Arabidopsis thaliana: one gene and its partners. The protein of the gene in region 1 interacts with the protein of each later gene in a pairwise test. Each region holds a gene or a part of one and is shown on either strand. Other genes may lie near its edges.

Evidence for each region.
Region 2: the proteins of AT2G25520 (region 1) and COR413-PM1 interact in a two-hybrid assay, tested with the Arabidopsis thaliana proteins (one large-scale study listed by BioGRID).
Region 3: the proteins of AT2G25520 (region 1) and AT4G33905 interact in a two-hybrid assay, tested with the Arabidopsis thaliana proteins (one large-scale study listed by BioGRID).

Annotation. Positions count from the first base shown.
Region 1 is NC_003071.7:10,858,557-10,862,313, forward strand, and holds the start of AT2G25520 (Drug/metabolite transporter superfamily protein), read left to right. Parts: upstream 1-2,111; 5' UTR 2,112-2,393; coding exon 2,394-3,437; 3' UTR 3,438-3,757.
Region 2 is NC_003071.7:6,947,830-6,951,586, reverse strand, and holds COR413-PM1 (cold regulated 413 plasma membrane 1), read right to left. Parts: upstream 1,737-3,757; 5' UTR 1,425-1,736; coding exon 1,255-1,424; intron 1,170-1,254; coding exon 1,062-1,169; intron 979-1,061; coding exon 908-978; intron 820-907; coding exon 575-819; 3' UTR 562-574; coding exon of another isoform or gene 527-561; 3' UTR 395-526; downstream 1-394. Other genes in the region: AT2G15980 (Tetratricopeptide repeat (TPR)-like superfamily protein), read left to right, coding at 1-238.
Region 3 is NC_003075.7:16,253,867-16,257,623, reverse strand, and holds the start of AT4G33905 (Peroxisomal membrane 22 kDa (Mpv17/PMP22) family protein), read left to right. Parts: upstream 1-1,863; 5' UTR 1,864-2,031; coding exon 2,032-2,373; intron 2,374-2,699; coding exon 2,700-2,928; intron 2,929-3,193; coding exon 3,194-3,318; intron 3,319-3,469; coding exon 3,470-3,559; 3' UTR 3,560-3,757. Other genes in the region: AT4G33910 (2-oxoglutarate (2OG) and Fe(II)-dependent oxygenase superfamily protein), read left to right, coding at 55-150, 220-285, 372-491, 595-681.

The DNA of each region.
Region 1 (3,757 bases):
TCATTCATTTTGTCACAAAACTGAACAACATGTGGTTCATATAATTTTTTTATATTTAAATATAAGAAACAAGCTTTTGTTAATAAAATGACGAATGGAGAAGAAGAATATACGGTTCCTCCACATTAGCAATAGAACCATACTGTCTCCACTCTTCCATTGAAGGTAAAAAAATGTAATGGGCTCTCTCTCTAAAGAACGGTTTTTCTGGCAGAGTTCCGTCTAAGTTTCCAGTTGAATCCGGCTTTGGTATCTGGCTTATGACACGACTAATTCAGTATCTTATTTTTGTTATTTATATGAATAATGTCCACGGTTTTAATTATGGGGATGCCACTTTATACGGTGATTCGTTTAGGTGAAGGTTTTACTTCTGCTTGTACTATTGGGTCCGCGGTTGATAAATACTATCAGATATGATTGCATACTTGCATGTAACTGATAAAAATAATATTTGTTACTTTACGTATTTTGAATTACCAATTAGCCTGTATTTCAAGTAACCAGAACTACTAGTTACTAAGCAAGCAGTTGTGCACTTATTAGATCATAATAATAATAAGTACTCAATAACTAAAATCACCTTAAAACGGAAATTAAAAAAATGATCGACTTTGATGTTATCATATCCGCCACTTTTGTTTCGTTCTCTCGGGCTGAATCGTTTGTTTCGTTCTCTCTATCGTTACTAGCTCTCTGTTTCTTGTTTTGTCTCTATTCATTAACTTTGCTTCCCTTATTAGTAATTATAATTTATAAATTCTAAATGATGTCTCTGTAAAAGAGAAACAAAGTAGATAAATATTAAGGGAGAAATGTAAATGTAACTGCATAATCGGTTTGCTACAAACTTATTTTTCCCTCCTAAAATGTTTCTTTTCTTTCTTTGCAAAAGATTCATTCGCTATATGCCTGTATTGGTTAAACATTAGTAGAAGTATTTTTGCAATTGGCGTGCAGAACATGGGAAGTTAGTAGCTACTTTATATATGGCCACATGACTTCCTCGCACGTCACGTAATCGGTGAAATGCTGTCCATGTGACAGTCAGACTCTTCGTAAAACAAATGTTCCGAAAGTAGTAACTACGGATAATTTATTTATTTTTGCAAACGTTACTGTAGTTACAAAATAAATAATGTTCCTTTGTAACTTTGGCGTGGGATTTCCAAAAAGTCTCTTGTCACATGAAACGGTTTTGAAAAATTTATAATCTCACTTTGAATTTGGTATATGTATTCAGACGAATGATAAGATACCAAATTATTTTAGTCGTTTTAATTTATAGATTTATTACTAACTTTTTTTTTTGTAAATTTAAACTTTCAGATTAGGCAACACCAAATAAATGATATATTTAATAGAAAATGTATGGTCGAAAAAAAATATTGTAATGTCTCTACACCAGAAGCTTTTGTTTTGACTTTTGAGTGTTTGAATCATTTGAAGTTTTGAACAGAATAATTCCACAATCAAAACCAAATAATATTTTATCAGGCGAGCGAAAGACAAGATTTTGACAGGTATTTGTACAAGTACTGAGTCGGTCAACAAACCCCGTCTGGACTCTGGACCCGAAGTAACCCAACAAACGTTGCGACAACTACATTAGCACCACCACCAAGGCACCAATAATGCAACGTAAGAGGGACGCAGCAAAACTGTCGCGATGTGAGATTCACGCGCTCTAATTTAAACGTTGACTCTTTGTTTCATCGTTACTCTCTCCCATTTATTTACTTCGCATACTCTCTTCGTTACAAGTTTCCATTTAATTACTCTTAAGTCTCTAACTAATAGCTTTAGGGATTCGTCATTAATTTAAGGCAACGTAAACTTAAAGAGTTTCGACTAAAAGCCGTTTCAGGAAACATACATCATCACATACTTTATCTAAATAACTGGCTTATTAATTTTATAACAAAAATGACGTTATTTAGTGTTAAGATATACAAATATTTAATTTTTACTAAATTAGTTAAGGTAAAATTGTGTTCCTTTCTGTGAGTTTTCCGCAATATTAAAAAACCCTAGAGAAATTAACAAAACGTAATTGACTAAAAAAAGAGTTCAAAACAAAACATTTGTTACATTTATTTCATAATTTAAAGACTAAGTATAAATCCACTAGAAAACAGATGATTAAAAATGCGGGTCCCACAATACGCCAATCGTCAAATAATCGCGCACCTTTTCGCCACGTAGCATAACAAAGTCACGTAAGCCCTTCCTCTACATTACAAGACCAAACTCAAAGTCTCTTTCTCCCCCAAACCCAAAAACATTGACCCAAAGAGAGAGAGACTTCTATCGTGCGCACCTCTCTCTCTTAATCCTTTATCCTGCGCACCACCACCACCATCTTCTTCTCCGGCGAAAACAAACCCACCGCCATGGGGAAAGGTCGTGCACTTTCCGACGGAGTGATCAAAAAGATCATCCTTTCATACACCTATGTCGCAATCTGGATCTTCCTCAGCTTCACAGTCATCGTCTACAACAAATACATCCTCGACAAGAAGATGTATAATTGGCCATTCCCAATAACTCTCACCATGATCCACATGGGTTTTTGCTCTTCCTTAGCTGTGATTCTCATCAAAGTCTTCAAAGTCGTCGAGCCTGTTTCAATGTCACGCGAGACTTATCTCAGATCCGTCGTACCAATCGGCGCGTTGTACTCACTTTCTCTCTGGTTATCAAACTCTGCTTACATCTACCTCTCTGTTTCCTTCATTCAAATGCTCAAAGCCCTAATGCCTGTAGCAGTTTACTCAATCGGGGTTTTGTTGAAGAAAGAGACTTTCAAATCTCAGACTATGACTAACATGCTTTCGATCTCGTTTGGTGTTGCTATTGCTGCTTATGGTGAAGCTAAGTTTGATGGTTGGGGTGTTTTTCTTCAGCTTGGTGCTGTTGCTTTTGAAGCCACTAGGTTGGTTTTGATTCAGATCTTGCTTACTTCTAAAGGAATCAATCTAAATCCAATCACTTCTCTCTATTACGTTGCTCCTTGTTGTTTGGTTTTCCTCTCTGTTCCTTGGATCTTTGTGGAGTTTCCAGTTCTTAGAGATACTTCGAGTTTCCATTTCGATTTCGTGATCTTTGGAACCAATTCTGTTTGTGCGTTTGCTTTGAATCTTGCTGTGTTCTTGCTCGTTGGGAAAACCTCTGCTTTGACTATGAATGTGGCTGGTGTGGTTAAGGATTGGCTCTTGATTGCATTCTCGTGGTCGGTGATTAAGGACACGGTCACACCTATCAATCTGTTTGGTTATGGACTTGCCTTTTTGGGTGTTGGATATTACAATCACTGCAAGTTACAGGCGTTGAAGGCTAAAGATGCACAGAAGAAGGTTCAGGCAAGTGATGACGAAGCTGGGAAGCTTTTGGAAGAGAGGGAAAGTGAAGCTAAACGCAACGAAACCCAAGATTGATCTGTTCTGATTCAAGAATGCAATTTCAGGAAATAAGAGCTTCAAGGTTAGAATGATTTGGGAAGATGGATTTTGCATTTTCATAGGTATGATTATCATTGTCGGTGTTCGTTCGTCTACGTTTTAGTTTTGCGATTATATTTTTAAGTTATGGCTGATTATATTACATAGTGATGGATGGGTGTTTAATTAGAGGTTCATGAATCTTTTGAACTCCATTGTATCTTCTTCTTTTGAGTTGTATTTTGTTTCTTACTTCCTCATGAATCTATCTTTGTGGGTAACAATTGTTTTAGTAGTACTTCTTTATATTTTTTCCC
Region 2 (3,757 bases), 3.9 Mb from region 1:
GTTTTATCCTAGTCGGAATTGTTATGAGTTGTTGGTAAAGAGGTTGTGTGAAGATGGGAAGATGGATAGAGCATTGAACATTCAGGCTGAGATGGTTGGGAAAGGATTTAAGCCGAGTCAAGAGACGTATAGAGCTTTTATCGACGGGTATGGAATAGTAGGTGATGAGGAAACATCAGCATTGTTGGCCATAGAAATGGCTGAATCACTCAAGCTAAGAGCAGAAGAAGAAAGCTAGAAAAGTTGAGCTTCGTTGGTAAGCTGGTGAAGCAAAGATGACAAAACCACATAGAAACCAATTGGTGACACAATGTGGACAAGTTTTGTGGTGGTACGAGAAAGCGGTAAGAAGTGGTACACATTGTAAGATGATACAACGTTACCCATTAAAGCTATAATGATGAAAGAGGAGATTTATTCCACACTAACACCTCATGATGATATCTTATTGCTGAAGCAATTCTTATTCAAATCACATTCATTGATAGAGTTACGAGGAGAGACAGATCGTACAAAGCAATCACTCTTACATGAAAAAAAAAAGACAAATGGAAAAAGAAACTGAAGAGTTAACTTAAAAGATAAGAGCCCAGACGGGGAAGACGACGAGACAGATGATCCCGACGGTGTTGGAGATACCATTGGCTTTAGTAAATGCATTTCTGAATCCACCTGAAGCTCTAATGTGTTCTTGAAGCAAGTAACATCCAATACCTAAACATATAGCTAAACCAATCCAACTGTCTCTGAATGTGCCAGCAATCAAATTTGGTGCCACCACGGCGAGAAGAACCAAAGCCACCGGTAATTCCAGGTATTCTAATAACACAAACAACAGAGATAAGCCAAATCAGAATCAAAGTCTTGTTGCTTGTAATGGAGAGTGAATGAAAAAAAGTAGACAAACCTCTGGCGTGTTTAGGAAAGAAGAGTTGTACAACAACAGCTACGAAAGCAATCCATTTACCAATTTCTCCTCTGTCAAAGTTTCAGACACAAGTTAGGGTTTAGGAACATAATGATAAGTAAAGAAAAAGTCTCTGGCTTTTGTTGTGTTATACCTGAAAATACCAAAGATCAAGGAAGGAAGACTGAAGAAGATGTAAGGAATGAGAAGTGATGTGAGCATATTCGTCTTCCAATTGGTTCGATCCAACACCAACAAGTATCTGCATTTATTACATCAAAACCTCATCAAGATCAACACAAGAAACGGATAGAGGAAAGAGACATAGAAACAGAGAGAATGGTTACATGGCGGCGATTGAAGCAACCCATTCGAGGACAGAGGTACCAAAGCCTAAACCAGTGAGTGTGAAGGCGTGTGTAGCTAGGTTCTTAGCAGCGATAGTGAGCTCGTTGAAATCGGATCCGATCATGGCCTTAAGGGTTCCATGGTCATTCCTCAACGACTTCATAGGCATCTTTTCTTGCCGGAGAAGAGAGAACTATGAATAATTGATGTGAGAAGAGAAGAGAGTAAAGAGTAGATAGATGGTGATGAATGTGTTGGAAGACTTTGGTTATAAAGATATTACAAGTGACTCGATGGATACGTTTACGCCACGTGGCAGTTATGAAAATAGTTTAATTTGGACGAACTAGATATTTTATCTATATTAACAATGATATAGTATAGTTTACTTAATAAGCTAATCCGATTTCTGACATAGACCTTAGACACATGTCGACACCAACTTCTCACACATGAACGTTCTAATAAGTTTGCTTTAACAAATGTAATTGGTGGACGTAAGAAACAATGGGACGAGCCAGCTGTCCAGTTGTATTTTTTTTTAATGATAATATTTATTACAATGCAAATAATTAGATATGTTATGGTGGAATCTCTTAACATGGATATATTAAGAATGGGAAAAATCAACATCTAAATCATAGGGTATGTCGGTATACATTAAAGTCAGAGATCGTCAAATCCAACTAAATAATAACAATATGCTTCAAGCAGATTTATTATATTTAGCCAATAAGTTGTATGGATTCGTTGAAGTTTTCATTCTATAATTAGACCATATGGTTTTACAGTTTTCTACTGTAAATGAATTCACAAAAATCTAAATTAAAAAAAAATAGAAAAATACTTAATTATAAAGAGATACTAGTTCGATAATCATATATGTAACTAAGTATAAATAAAACCAAATAGAAAATGTGCAAGTAAATTGTTGAGCTAAAAAATCAGATGAGATGGATCAAAATCCAATCAGTTAATGGTTACAAAAAAAAAAAAAAACAGAGTGGCAGAAGTTATGGTTTTTAATATGATTATGTGATGTCGGCAGAAGATTTGTCTTGAGTAGGACCAGCCAAATAAAAATAAATTTTGTTTTACCATATTAAAGTTGTTGTTGACGGAAAGAAAAAAATGTAACATGCTCCAGAATCGTAACAAGTAAGAGAGTATCGAACTCTCATTACGGTAACGAAATACAGATTCATCCCTAGCATAACTACATAAGCGACATAAGCTATGAATCAGAGTCCAAAATAAAATTAGAATTTTTCGTTTTTCAGTTCTGATTTTTTTTAAAGATTTAAGCCTAAAACCTAAAATGTTTAATAACTCATGAGAGTTGAACCCAATTTTTTCTTTTTTCTTTTTCGTTTTGATGATTTTAGTTTTTAATCAGTATTTGTGATCTTTCCATATTATATTTATGTCGTTTATGATAATTAAAAATAAAACTAAAATTTTACTTGGAGTAAAACCCTCAATATTGTTGGATCGGTCCTGAATATGACCTCACTAGTTGTTACTCGGTTAAAGAGTATCACGTTAAATAAGCTGCTGAGTGCTGACACTACGCTCCACAATATCCATATTAAATAATAGAAACTTAGTTTAACCAGAACGGGAAAAATGTCATTTAAATCACGACTTCGCAATTTGTGGTGCTTTAAACATAAACTTTGTACTTTGTGATTAAAATCATCAATTACGTGTTGACTTCAGATAAAATCACTAACTTTCGTTGACAGAGCCAAATTAGTCACAACATCAACTGAATAAACAGAGCAATTAGAAGATGTGATTTATCCGTTAATGAGACCGTTTAAGAGCAAAACGACGTCGTTTGCAATTGAAACAAAAACAGGAAAAATGCCATATAAATCATGACTTCGCCATTTGCAGTGCTTTAAAGCATGAACTTTGTGCCTTGCAATTCACTTTGATTTCAAAATACAGGAGTGAATTCGAAGAAGAAAAGAAGAAGAGATTTGAGGATCTAGGGTTTCTTATTTCTGAATTGGGGATTTTTGTTTCAATTGCAAACGACGTCGTTTTACTCTTAATCGTACTTATTAACGGATAAATCACAGCGTTAATGAAAATCTAGAATGGCCTGTAAAAATTCTCCCATATATCTAATTTTGAAATAATTTTGCTGGAATAGAGTTTAGTTGATAAGATACACTTCAAGTGTTTTGTGTTGAAGGAAAGAACTATATGATCGTCATGTGGATCAAAAGCCCAAAGCCCAAAGCCCAAACCTTTTGTAACCGTTGTTTCCGTCTGGGCCAAAAGCCGAAAGCTCATTTGGTATCAATAAAAAAAAAAAAAAATCGTTATCTGTATTGAATATTGATGATATCTTCCAGCAATCTCATTCATGATTGGCCACTTCAAAATCTTTCAATCAAATTTTAGTTTTGGGTTCCCTCAGAATTCCTACGTTATTAGAAAAATTATAATCATTTCTTGTTTTATTTCTTACTGAATGATGCGAATGTTCCT
Region 3 (3,757 bases), on another chromosome or scaffold:
TTGGTTTAGTGCTTATCACCCCTTTAATTGTACGAGATTTGATGTTTTTGGCAGTCATTCAATATTTTACGGTATGAACTTGGCCAAAAGTATGATTCCCACTATGATGTTTTCAACCCAACAGAATATGGACCACAATCAAGCCAAAGGGTAAAATCCTTAAATCTGTCATATTTATAGCTTTCTTTAGAACCCGAGACCTCATTTGAATTTACGCAGATTGCCTCCTTCCTGTTGTACTTATCTGATGTTGAAGAAGGCGGTGAAACCATGTTCCCATTTGAGGTCAGTTTATAATATATTATTTGCTTACTTATTATACAGACCCTTTCGTTAGTTTTGATTCCATTTAAACGCTTTCTATTTAACAGAACGGTTCTAATATGGGCATCGGATACGATTACAAGCAATGTATTGGGTTGAAAGTAAAGCCTCGGAAAGGAGATGGTCTTCTTTTTTATTCCGTGTTTCCAAATGGAACGATTGATCAGGTAAACAAAGTTTGAACACATTTCATTTCTTCTCTTGACTCCTATTCCTTGGATTAGTTCATGCTAATAGGAGCTCTTTGCTGTGGTTCCAATGCTTCTGCAGACTTCGCTTCACGGGAGCTGCCCGGTGACCAAAGGAGAGAAATGGGTGGCAACCAAATGGATCAGAGACCAAGACCAGGAAGAATAAGTTAGGTTTTTTTCCATATATCTATCTCAGTCTCACAGCTTCTATCTTTTGACTAAAAATCTGCTGCTGGATCCCTCGTGTACAGTTCTTCGCTGAAACAGTGTAACTATTTAGCTTTCTTATAATGCGAATGATACAAAAATTAAAACCTGATAATGAAAACTTGGTTCGAAATATCATTTGAACAATAGAAGTTTCTTGTTGTTTGATATTTCAGTAAAAGAAATATAAGAACTTATAAGATTAACACAGAAGTGATGACAAGTGTGGATCGATTTGGGTGTTCTGATTACTTGGTATTGAGTATTTACTGCTCGTTTGAGTCCGTCAAGTCTCTTGTTAATTTGCAATGTGTACTAATTTTTTCCCTTATAACTTAACAAAATGTGTTGTATGATTGTATTTGTATCTATTAAATGGAAAATTATTTTGTCCATGTTATATATATAAAAAATGTATCTGAGCTTACACACCAGGGACCATCTTTTTATTCGAGTTTTTGTGGACACATGAGTCATGAGTGATACCGATAATAATTTTTGTTTTTTTTTGTGTGTGTGACATCATCTACGTTTAGTTTGGTTTAGAATCTTCGAAAAATTGCCGACAGAAAATAAGAGAATCTTCTCTTCCAATGATCTACGTTCTTTTTGACTAAATATATAAAAATAAAAGAGTTCATAAAAAGTGGCTAAAAGTCGGAACTTGGGACACGAACGCAACACGTGGCTTCTACTAAAGGTTAGCGTCACTGAATTAAGTTTTACGTGTCAGAAGTGATGACGTCGACACTAACCAATGTGAACAGGACGTGTAAACAACCCTAGAACACTACAGAACAGAAACAGTTTGGGGATGTTTGGTTTTTGAACCGTCCACCTTTGACGGTCACGCGCTCTTCAGCCTTCAGGCACTCTTTCCTCCGCCTAACATAGAAATTGGAAAGGTTATTTTCTCCAATAATTTGGCTTGGCTTTTGAGTTTATTGAGTGATTAGCTAATAATAAATAATAATCAATTTGTTGGCTTATATATAATCAATGTGCTAAGTAACACTATAGCTTTCACAAAAACTTCGGTTATTAGGAAAGATCTCGACAATTCTGTATCTAGAAAAGGCATGATTAATTAATTTATTAAGAACAAAACTAATTTATGAAGAACGATTGCAATGGTACGAGACGCGAGTAGAAAAACCTTTATACTCGCGAAATATACAAATTGTGTGTTTCATTATTTATTGGCATTTAAACTTTTTAAAAAAACAGAGCTCTGTTTCTTCTTCTCCACCGCCGTTATATATAAAACCCTTCCCTGAACCCCCAAAACTCTCGGAGCCATCACACGACAATGACCGGCGCATTGTTTAGAAACGCTGCTTCCGACGCCGCTCGGATCTTTCGATTACAGCGAGCAACGATGACGAATCCTTTTGGAAAGCTCGACCCTTTACCGATAGGAGGAAACATCCAGCGATTGCAGTCGAGGCCTTTTTATCGTACGCCTCAGTTTCTCGGGAAAGCAAAGGAAACAGGTGTCTCTGGTTTCTGTTCGTCTTCGTCTTCGTCTTCTTCGACGGTCTCTACAGCAGGATTCATCGGATGGTATTTGGGAATGGTGAAATCTCGGCCGGTTCTTACCAAATCCGTCACGTCCTCGCTTATTTACATAGCAGCCGATTTGTCTTCGCAGGTAATTTCAAAAATCTATCTCATTTTTGTTTTGTAAGCCTACAAATCAGATTTTAGATATTCTGTGATTATGTTCTTGTTGATTCAGTCCTAAGATTCCATTGTGTTTTCTAACAAATGGTAATAGTAGAAGTCACTGTATCTCCATTGTGCTTTAGAGATTTGAGATAGGACAAGAATTACTTCTAGATTAAGAAGTAATGATCGATTCTTAGTAATGTGGATGTAGTAGCGGGTTTTATGTGAATTGAGTTGTTATATTTGCTTACGTTTCTTTGTTCTTGTATTGTTGTTGACAAAAGTGTGACTTGTTTGATCTTTCAACAGACAATTCCACAAGCTTCAGTGGATTCTTATGACTTGGTAAGAACAGCAAGGATGGGAGGATATGGGTTATTAATCTTGGGTCCTACACTTCACTATTGGTTCAATCTCATGTCAAGTCTCTTCCCAAAACGAGATTTGATCACAACGTTTAAGAAAATGGCCATGGGACAGACAGTCTATGGGCCTGCCATGAATGTTGTTTTCTTCTCACTGAATGCAGCCCTACAGGGTAAGCTTTCAGCTGTACATGAAAAATAATCAACTGGTTCCTTTCTTATAGTCTATATATTCTTCTTTGAGCAACATATAAAAGTATGATTTTTCTGAAACTCTAGATCCTGTTGACCTTCAATCTTAAGGGTTGTTATAGAGCAGGTTGTTTGATGTTACATTCTTTCTCTAAATGGCGTTTGAAGAGAGGAGAATTGTTGTTAGAATTTGATCCTAAGCTATTCTTGATGACATCAAAGTCTGATTTTCAATTATTTTTTCAGGTGAAAATGGTTCAGAGATAGTTGCTAGATTGAAAAGGGACCTACTTCCCACAATGCTTAATGGTGTCATGTATTGGCCTTTGTGTGATTTTATTACTTTCAAGTTCTGCCCTGTTTATTTACAGGTATGTATGATTGATACCTACCACTTTATTTCCAACTTAGCTTCACTTTGGTTAACCTTTTGTTCAAGACAGATCATATATTTGCTGCATTCATTTTGTCTTATCGTGAGTTTTGGTTATCAACTGAAGTCTGGTTTCTTTTTGTCTGCAGCCACTTGTGAGCAACTCGTTTTCGTATCTATGGACAATCTACATAACTTATATGGCAAGCCGTGCGACGCCAACCGCCATTGAAATTTGAAAAAGCTCTCTGGGAAACTCTCTCAGTTTAGAAATGAAGAAATGAAGCCAAAAAACACTTTTACTAAAAGAAACAGGGCATTCTTCAACATTCTTTGTTTCCTCTCTCCAGATTTTAGGAGGATATAATGTAAGGAGTTTTGGGGAAAACTGTGCATTTGGACATGTCTTACACTCTTAGATTTAATTCAATTCTATG